2 linked regions of the Notamacropus eugenii genome follow. Each later gene encodes a partner of the first gene's protein in a complex. Links are inferred from orthologs where the notes say so. Each region holds a gene or a part of one and is shown on either strand. Other genes may lie near its edges.

The links.
Region 2: EIF3J (region 1) and EIF3K share a complex: the UniProt entries of both Homo sapiens proteins name them as parts of the eukaryotic translation initiation factor 3 (eIF-3) complex. The link is inferred for Notamacropus eugenii from reciprocal best matches to the Homo sapiens genes EIF3J and EIF3K.

The regions. Positions count from the first base shown.
Region 1 is NC_092878.1:53,314,672-53,318,576, reverse strand, and holds the start of EIF3J (eukaryotic translation initiation factor 3 subunit J), read left to right. Parts: upstream 1-1,379; 5' UTR 1,380-1,730; coding exon 1,731-1,764; intron 1,765-1,871; coding exon 1,872-1,969; intron 1,970-3,905. UniProt on the Homo sapiens protein: Component of the eukaryotic translation initiation factor 3 (eIF-3) complex, which is required for several steps in the initiation of protein synthesis.
Region 2 is NC_092876.1:31,817,492-31,821,396, forward strand, and holds the start of EIF3K (eukaryotic translation initiation factor 3 subunit K), read left to right. Parts: upstream 1-987; coding exon 988-1,265; intron 1,266-3,905. UniProt on the Homo sapiens protein: Component of the eukaryotic translation initiation factor 3 (eIF-3) complex, which is required for several steps in the initiation of protein synthesis.

The sequences.
Region 1 (3,905 bases):
CCTCCATTTACTTCTGGGGAAAAGGAGGGCTCTCCCTCTATTCCCGCCTGGGATCGGGGGGAAGGAAGCGAGTCTTCGAACAGGGAGGAAGGTGAGGGACAGTATGGTGGGGATGACGCGGGTGGGGCGGCGGTCCTAGAGCTGCGGCCCCTCGGGCTGCTTCGGACCCCGCGCGCTGCGAGTGTGCGAATGCCCGAAGGGGCGGCCAGTGCCCTGGTGACGCGTGTGCGACAACTGTGTGCGTGTGTGCGCGTGTGTGCATGTGTGAGCGTGTGTGAGCGTGTGCGTGTGTGTGGGCAAGGAGGGTGCTGGTGCCATTTGTTCTACAAGTTTGAAAAAAGGGTAGGGGCGTGTGTAAGGACACGGAGTTCCTTGGTGACGCGTGTGCGACAAGTGTGTGTGCGTGCGTGTGCGTGTGTGTGGGCAAGGAGGGTGCTGGTGCCATTTGTTCTACAAGTTTGAAAAAAGGGTAGGGGCGTGTGTAAGGACACGGAGTTCCTTGGTGACGCGTGTGCGACAAGTGTGTGTGCGTGCGTGCGTGTGCGTGTGTGTGCGCGCATTTGTGTGTGTGGGCAAGGAGGGTGCTGGTGCCATTTGTTCTCCGAGTTTGAAAAAAGGGTAGGTGTGTGCGTAAGGACACGGAGTCCCTTGGTGACGCGTGTGAGACGCGTGTAATGGCGTGCGGAGGGGGGGGGGTTCCCTTGTGTCCCGGGTTCGAGAAAAGGTCTGTCAACAGTGTATGCGGGACAGAGAAGGGCATTTCCTTGACTTGCGTGAAAAAGGAATTCCCCTGGAAGAAGGAATGTGCGGGTAAGGAAGGGGCGCGTGCCCTTGGAGGTGTCCGTGGAGGACACAGAGTTGTCCCACGCGTCACCAAGGATCTCCTCGGCCTCACACACACCCCCCATTCAGCCTTTTTGCAAACTTGTAGGCACGTCGCTAGCGAACTCCTTGACCCGCACACAAACACAACCCACCCTTTTCCTATACTCACGCTTTTCACCCACGAGTGGGACGAGCTACGTGGAGGCTTGTGGGGTCTGAGCGTTCATCGCGAGTGTGTGTATAGAGTGCGACAGGCTTCCCTGTGATGAGGTTGTGTGTGAAAGGGATGTCCTGGACGTGTGTGTGTCTGCGTGTGTGTAGAAGGGGTGGGGGTGGGTGAGGAGGCTTTCCCCCGGACGCAGCAGGGCGTGTGTGGAAGAGAGCACGTGTGCAAGGGACGTGACAGCGTGCGTGTGTGCGTGTGAGTGTGTGTGTGTATGCATGCGTGTGTGAAACCAGAGGGGGTGTGGGAGAGCGAAGCGGTGCTTCTCGTGTGGCAGGGCCATTTCTTGTAACCATATGTGTGCAAGAGGCGTTCCTCGCGGTAGGATTTGTGCGTGTGCAACGCAGAAAGCGGAGTTCCGGGTGACGGAGGGAGGGGCGGGGTCTTGGCCCTTCCTCTCCCGGCAGTCCGCACTCCACCCGGCCCTCCACCTGGTCCACCTGAGGCCCCGCCTCCTCCGGCCTCCTCTTGGCGCCGGGAGGGGGCGGAGCTCCGTCCGCTCCGCGCGCCTAATTCCCGCGGCCTGGGAGGGGCGGGGCCTCGGGCGGGGCCTGACGCTCCGCCGCCGTCCCGGCGTGCCCCGCGTTGGCCAGCGAGAAGCTCTCGGGTGACTCACCAGCCGCCCTCTCGCGCTCTCCTTCCCCCTTCTCTCCCTCTCGCACTCGCGCACACCCGGCCCGAGATGGCGGCGGCGGCGGGGGACTCGGACTCCTGGGGTGAGGGGCCGTGCGGGGATGGCGTGGAGCGGGGGGAGGGGCGGCGCCCTCCTGGGGCCCGGACGCGACTCGTGCCTAACGTGGCTCTCTCTCCCTCCTTTCCGTAGACGCGGACACGTTCTCGGTGGAGGAGCCGGTGCGGAAGGCGGGGGGCGCGGCCGGCGGGGACCGCTGGGAGGGCGAGGACGAGGATGACGACGTCAAGGTGGGCGCCAGGCCGGGCCGGGCCCGGCGGCGGGAGCGGGGGAGGTGGCGGTCGGCCGCCGGGGGCCCCGATCCCGGCCTGCTCCAGGGCGGGCCGCCGTTTCCGGGTAGTGGCGCCCTCGCCTCCCCGGGCCCGCACTCCGTCCTTCCCCCTCCCGCCCCCGGACCCCGGGCCGGAGACACGCGGCCGCGGCCTTCTCCGCTCGGCCCTCGGGTCCGGGTCGGCCCGCGGGTCTGCCGCCCGGTGACCGGGGCATGGGTGGAAGCTTGAGGCCCGGGGCATGTTCCATCTGGGAATCCTGGGGAGGGCTTCCCGGCCTTCTCTGCGCTGTCGCCGTCGGCATAACTCACTGCGGGGTCCTCCGAGTTCCCAGCCCTGTTGGGGTGTGTGATTGGCAGCAGACTCTAGCGAGCAGCCGATTAGGATCGATGAATTGACATAGGTGGAGACATTTTGAGCGATCCGTCGCAGCCTCTTCTTTATCAGACCGTTTATCGGAGCTATTTAGAAACATAAAAATGAAGAGATCCAGCTTGTCTCCTCTGGTGAAGGAATTAAGCGATGAATTAGACAAGCAGCTGGAAGAAGTAATAAGTGCCCAGAGCAACTCCCTGGCAACATGGGAAATGGGGAGTTGGCAGGAGGGCTTCCCAGTACACGTGAGAAGCAGAAAACAGAATGAAAACATAGTATTTGGATATTGGAGTGCGGGAAAGGGCAGTGAGGACTCCTTTCTAGGGGATGAAGTTTAAATTTGAGTTTATTTTGTCTCTTCCCACCAGAACTGATTCAGCCTTATTGTATATTTCTGAAAAGTGTGCCATTTTCAACATGGAGCCCCTCATGTGCTTTTAGGAAACTGTCCCAAGGATTTTATTTAGTAGCCCCTAAATCTTATGTCCAGAGTGGCAAGGGTATAAAGCTTAGTAAAGTAGTGGAATTCTTGAAACGTTTCAGCAGATGTTTGTATGTATGAAGTTGAAAGTTGAACGTTTCCCTCTCATCCCTGGCTTGCTCAACGTGTTCAACAGACCTTAAAAATTGAAGCATAGAGAACACTCTGGCTTGTCTTTCCTTCTGAATGTTGGGGTCTGCTGCACCCCTCCTCCCCAAGTGGTCAAGCACACTTAAGATACTGTAAAATGTGTATTTTTTTTTTTAATATTCTTTAATCCTATACAATGTATGTTGCAATTTAGAAAAAAATTTTAGCTGTGGAAGTGAGGTAAGGTTAGCAAAGAGTTGGAGGAAAAATTAAAAATTTTAAGAATGAGAAGAAAAGAACTGGAAGTAAACAAAATAATGCTGTGTACTTGAACTAGCTTCTGTTTTTTCCCCCCACAGTTATTAAACCCACGTAAGTAAAAATAAAAGTTTTTTAAACTGACCAGAGAGTTGATGTAGGAATTATTTTATAACCCATATGACTGTCATAAAATAGTATTGGACTTTCTAGTTAGACCAGGGTTCAAAGCCCTCCTGATCATGGGCAAGTCATCCTCCTAAGACTATGAATTATACACGAATTTCTTTGGTGGATGGAGTTCCCACATATACCGAAGAAATCGTAGGCTCTCGATGCAATGTTGAAATGACATTTGGGTTTTGTTAGCCTTTATAGAAATGTTTTTATATTCTGGTGTGTATTCTTAAAACAAGGATACTATTTATTCTGCTACATGACCAAGATTCCTTGAATGTCTTTCATGGAGTACTTTGGATTCGTTGTCTCTTCATTTTTTCTTAGTTCAATTTCAGCATCAAAACAAAAAGCCTAGATTGGGTGACATTGTAAACCCCATATAGAATCTTTGTTTCATTTAGTCAGCAATTTGTTTCTAGTTAATGTAATGTACTTTAGTTCTCTAAAGCAGGACTTAGCACATTTGCGTTGATTTTGGAGCCATTCCAAAAATGTAGGAGTCAGACGAATTTG
Region 2 (3,905 bases), on another chromosome or scaffold:
GGAAGAAGACAGGGTGGGGAGAGGCACAAGGATGGCGGAGAGGAGAACTCGGAGACCCTGGTCCAGTGAACCAGGCTTTATGGAGAGCCTTGTCTGTCTGGGTTGGAGGTGGGAGCTGACGCGGACAGCCTGGACAGCACCTTGGAGAGCCCCCAGCTCAACCTCTGCCACCGGGTTTGCAGACTGGGCTCCAGAGCAGCAGCGAGCCCGAGAGGCCCCCGGCCCACTGGGCGTGGTTAGGTGCCGGCCCTGAGCTCGGGGCCTGGCCCTTCACGGGTGTTTAAAATGCTGTTGACCCGCTGACCCCGTGCCTTGGCCAGTCACCGGGCAGGGAAGGAGAGACTCTCTTTATGGGAATATGCGTGGGAGAGACGATCGATTAAGCATCTATTAGGCGCCTAAGGCAAACCAGAGTGAGGGAGAGGGAGAGTCGCCGCACCCGTTCTTATTATTCCGGGGACCGGATGGAGGGGAATCGAGTCACTCATTTAGTGACTGCCACCCTTCCCCCGTCTTCCGTCTCCCTGGGGAGAGAATGGTCTGCACTGGGAGACAGTCCACGGGAGGAGGGGCCTTCCTGGAGGAGGGCGCCATGTGTCCGAGGGGACACCAAGGACAGGGGGAAGGCACCAAGGGGTGGGGGACAGGCAAGAGATCGTGTTGGATGTGGAGTCGTGGAAGTCTCATGTGTGCACAAAGTACACGTGCATCCAGGCGCCCCCCTCCCCGGGACACTCGTGGGGTCTCCAGCGCAGCTGCCTCCTGTCACGTGACGAAGCCGGCGAGGAGGGGCAACAATGCAGCAGCTTTGGTCCCGCCCACTCGAGGGGGAGGGGGAGTGAGCGACGCTAGGGGGAGGGGGAGAGGGCGAGAGAGACCCTGGGACGCCTGCGCACTGGCTCCCGAGGGTTTTTTTCCCCACCTCCCTCACCGTGGGTGAGCTCTGTCTGGCCCGCTCTCCGTCGGTGCGAGTGCGCATGCTCCAGAATGGACCGATCCCGGAAGAGGAAGTCACGTGCTACCCGGAAGCAGCCCCCTCCGCCGCCGCCTTTACCTCCGCCTCCCGTTGCGGAAGAAGTTGACGACCATGCGGCCGAAAGTGTCATCGGGGAAGGAGAACTTCCGCCCTCCCCGCCCCTTCCGGTTCCTGTTGCTTCTCCGGACCCGGTCTCGGCGTCTGCGTCTGCTTGTGAAAAGGAGGAGGCCATGGCGCTGTTCGAGCAGATGCGCGCCAACGTGGGGAAGCTGCTCAAGGGCATCGACAGGTGCGGGCAGGCAGGCCTCGGAGGGCTCCGGGGCCGCAGGGGCTGGGCCCGAGGACGGACGGGGAGGGAATTCCCGGGCCGTGCGGTTACGGCTGTGTGGTGTCCAGCAGCCCATCCGCAAGCGCTTACCAAAAAATAGTGTGACCGCCCCTGGCCTCCAGGAGCTCACGGGCCAACCCGGGATAGTAGGTGCCAAATAGATGCCAGCCAATACAAAGTAAAGGGGGGTGTAGGGGAAGAATTCAGGAACTGAGCTTTGAAAGAAACGAGGGATCCCACAAAGTGGGCCCCAGGAGGGAGAGCATGCCAGGGGTGGAGGATAGCCTGGACAAAGGCACGGAGGTGGGAAATGGAGCTCGAGGAACCGCTCAGAATTGTAGAGTGAGGTGGGAGGGGGATGAATGGTATAATGAAGCCGGAAAGGTAAGTTGGGGCCAAGATATGGGGGGGGCTTTAAAAGCCAAAGGGAGGAGTTGGTATTTGGAATTGGCAATCCCCAGCCCCTCTTGTGTAAAATGAAGGGATTGGATCAAATGCCTTCTAAATCTGTGATCCAAGAGACAGAAAGCAGCTTTTTCAGTTGATTGAGTGGATAAGTGACAGGCCTGAAGTTTGGGAAAGTCAGGGAGGCAGCTGTGTGGAGGATGGATCTGACAGGGAGAACCCCGAGGCTGGGAGCTGATTGGGAGGCTGCTGCTTTCCTCCCTGCCTTCTGAGAGCCCACAGTCTAAAGAGGGAGACAGCATGCAAACAACTCTGTAGGAAAAGGATGAGGTGGAGATAATCATAGCCTGGGGGACAGGAAAAGTCTCCTGCCAAGGAGTTAGAGAAAAAACACTTATTAAGCACCTGTGTTCCAAGCCCTATGCTAAGCCCTTTGCAAAAGCATCTCATTTGACCCTCACAGCTGTTTGCTTACTGTTTGTTCTTTGTTCTCAAAGAAGAAGGTGATGATGCTGCGACATACAAGTGAACCAGATTTAAATGAGGCAGGGCTGTGCAAAGTCCACAGCCTTACTTTCTCCTCTGGAGCCATCTGAGTCCAGTGGCCAGATACAGATCAGGACAACTGGAGGTGGCCCAGGATGCAGTGGGGGACCTTGGCCTTTTCAAGCTAAGGTCTTTATCTTGTCCCGGTTTGAGCGAGGCAATGCCTATTCACTAATTAAGGCTTAATAAGAAATGAGGCAAAGAATGACCTCTAAAAAAATAGATCTGGGAGAGGAAGAACCTCAAAGGTTTCTGGCCAAAACAGAAATAATTGCTACCTACATTTATTCTGAGCTTATCAGGGCCCAAACAGTGACCAAGTAGGACTTGGATTAGGACCTATTATTGGCCAATCAGTGAGCACCAGAGTGATTTTGGGGGATAAGGCTGGTCTTTTAATAAGAGAAGAGGAAGAAAAAGTTTCAGAGATTAAAAATTTACCTTCCTTTCAGACAGAGCACCCAAAGATAAGGGTGTGATACCTTATGTGGACTGAGGGAAAGAAGATAAAGACTAGTTGCCCAATTAACTGACCAGTTCCAATTTAGTCTCCAGTGAACAGCTCCTTTTCTCCTCATGGAGTTCTTGAAGAGGACCATGACATCAGGGAGGGGATGCCATTACATGCAAATAAATTGGATTACAGTGAGGGAAGGCTGTGCACAGTCACCAGCCTCACTTCTCCTGAGCCAGCTAGGTCCAGTGACCCAGATACAGATCAGGAAGACTGGAGATAGCCCAGCATTCTCACAGCAGTCCTAAGAAGTAGATACTATTATTGTTCTCGTTTCACAGTTGAGTAAATTGAGGCAGACAACATAGCTAGTGTCTGAGGCAAGGTTTGAATCGATGTCTTACTGACTTGAGGCAGAAACCAGAAGGAAGCCTGGAGGCAAAGATGACAAAGAGAGCCTTCTAGACTTTCAGAGTTTAGAGATGAGAGCAACAGCTAGGAGGCCAAAGAATGGTATAAGATGAAAGGAAAGGCTTTAAAAGCTCAACAGGAGTCTCTCTTTGATCTTGGGGGTGATAGAAGCCCCTAGAGTTTGAATATGGGCCAGATGACTGGTCAGGCCAGTGCTTTAGCAGTTGGGGGGTGGCTGCATGGGAGTAGGAAGAAGCTTGTGGCAGGCAGAAGACACTATGTTGGGTTCGAGGGGTACAAGTAGAAAGAAAGGAGGCTCCTACTCTTCAGGAACTGGAAGGAGGCATCATGTAAGTCTGTCAACATGTGTACCGTCAGTGTTAGTGTAAGGTAGGGCACTGCAGTGGTGGGAGTCAGGGAAAGTTTCATTGTCAGGGCGGTTTGAGCTTGGGGGAGGACGGGTCATGAGGCGGGTGGGGAGCAGAGGCTGGGAGAAGTTGGGACCAGGTAGCAAAGGGCTTTCTGAGTCTCCTTGGCTGGATCTTCATCCAGCTCAGGACTGCTAATAGAAGGGTGACCCCACCAAGGCTGCCTGGGTCTCTGCCTGTCTTCATCTATATTTCACTTGGTGATTCGCTGCCATGGATTAAGTGATCATCTATATTCTGTCAACTCTCCAGTCTACTTATCCAGCCTGCTGACCTCTCTACTCACCTCTCCAGCTGCTTATTGGACCTCTTGACCAGGATGATCCATTTGTTTTTGGTCAGTTGGATCTGACCCGG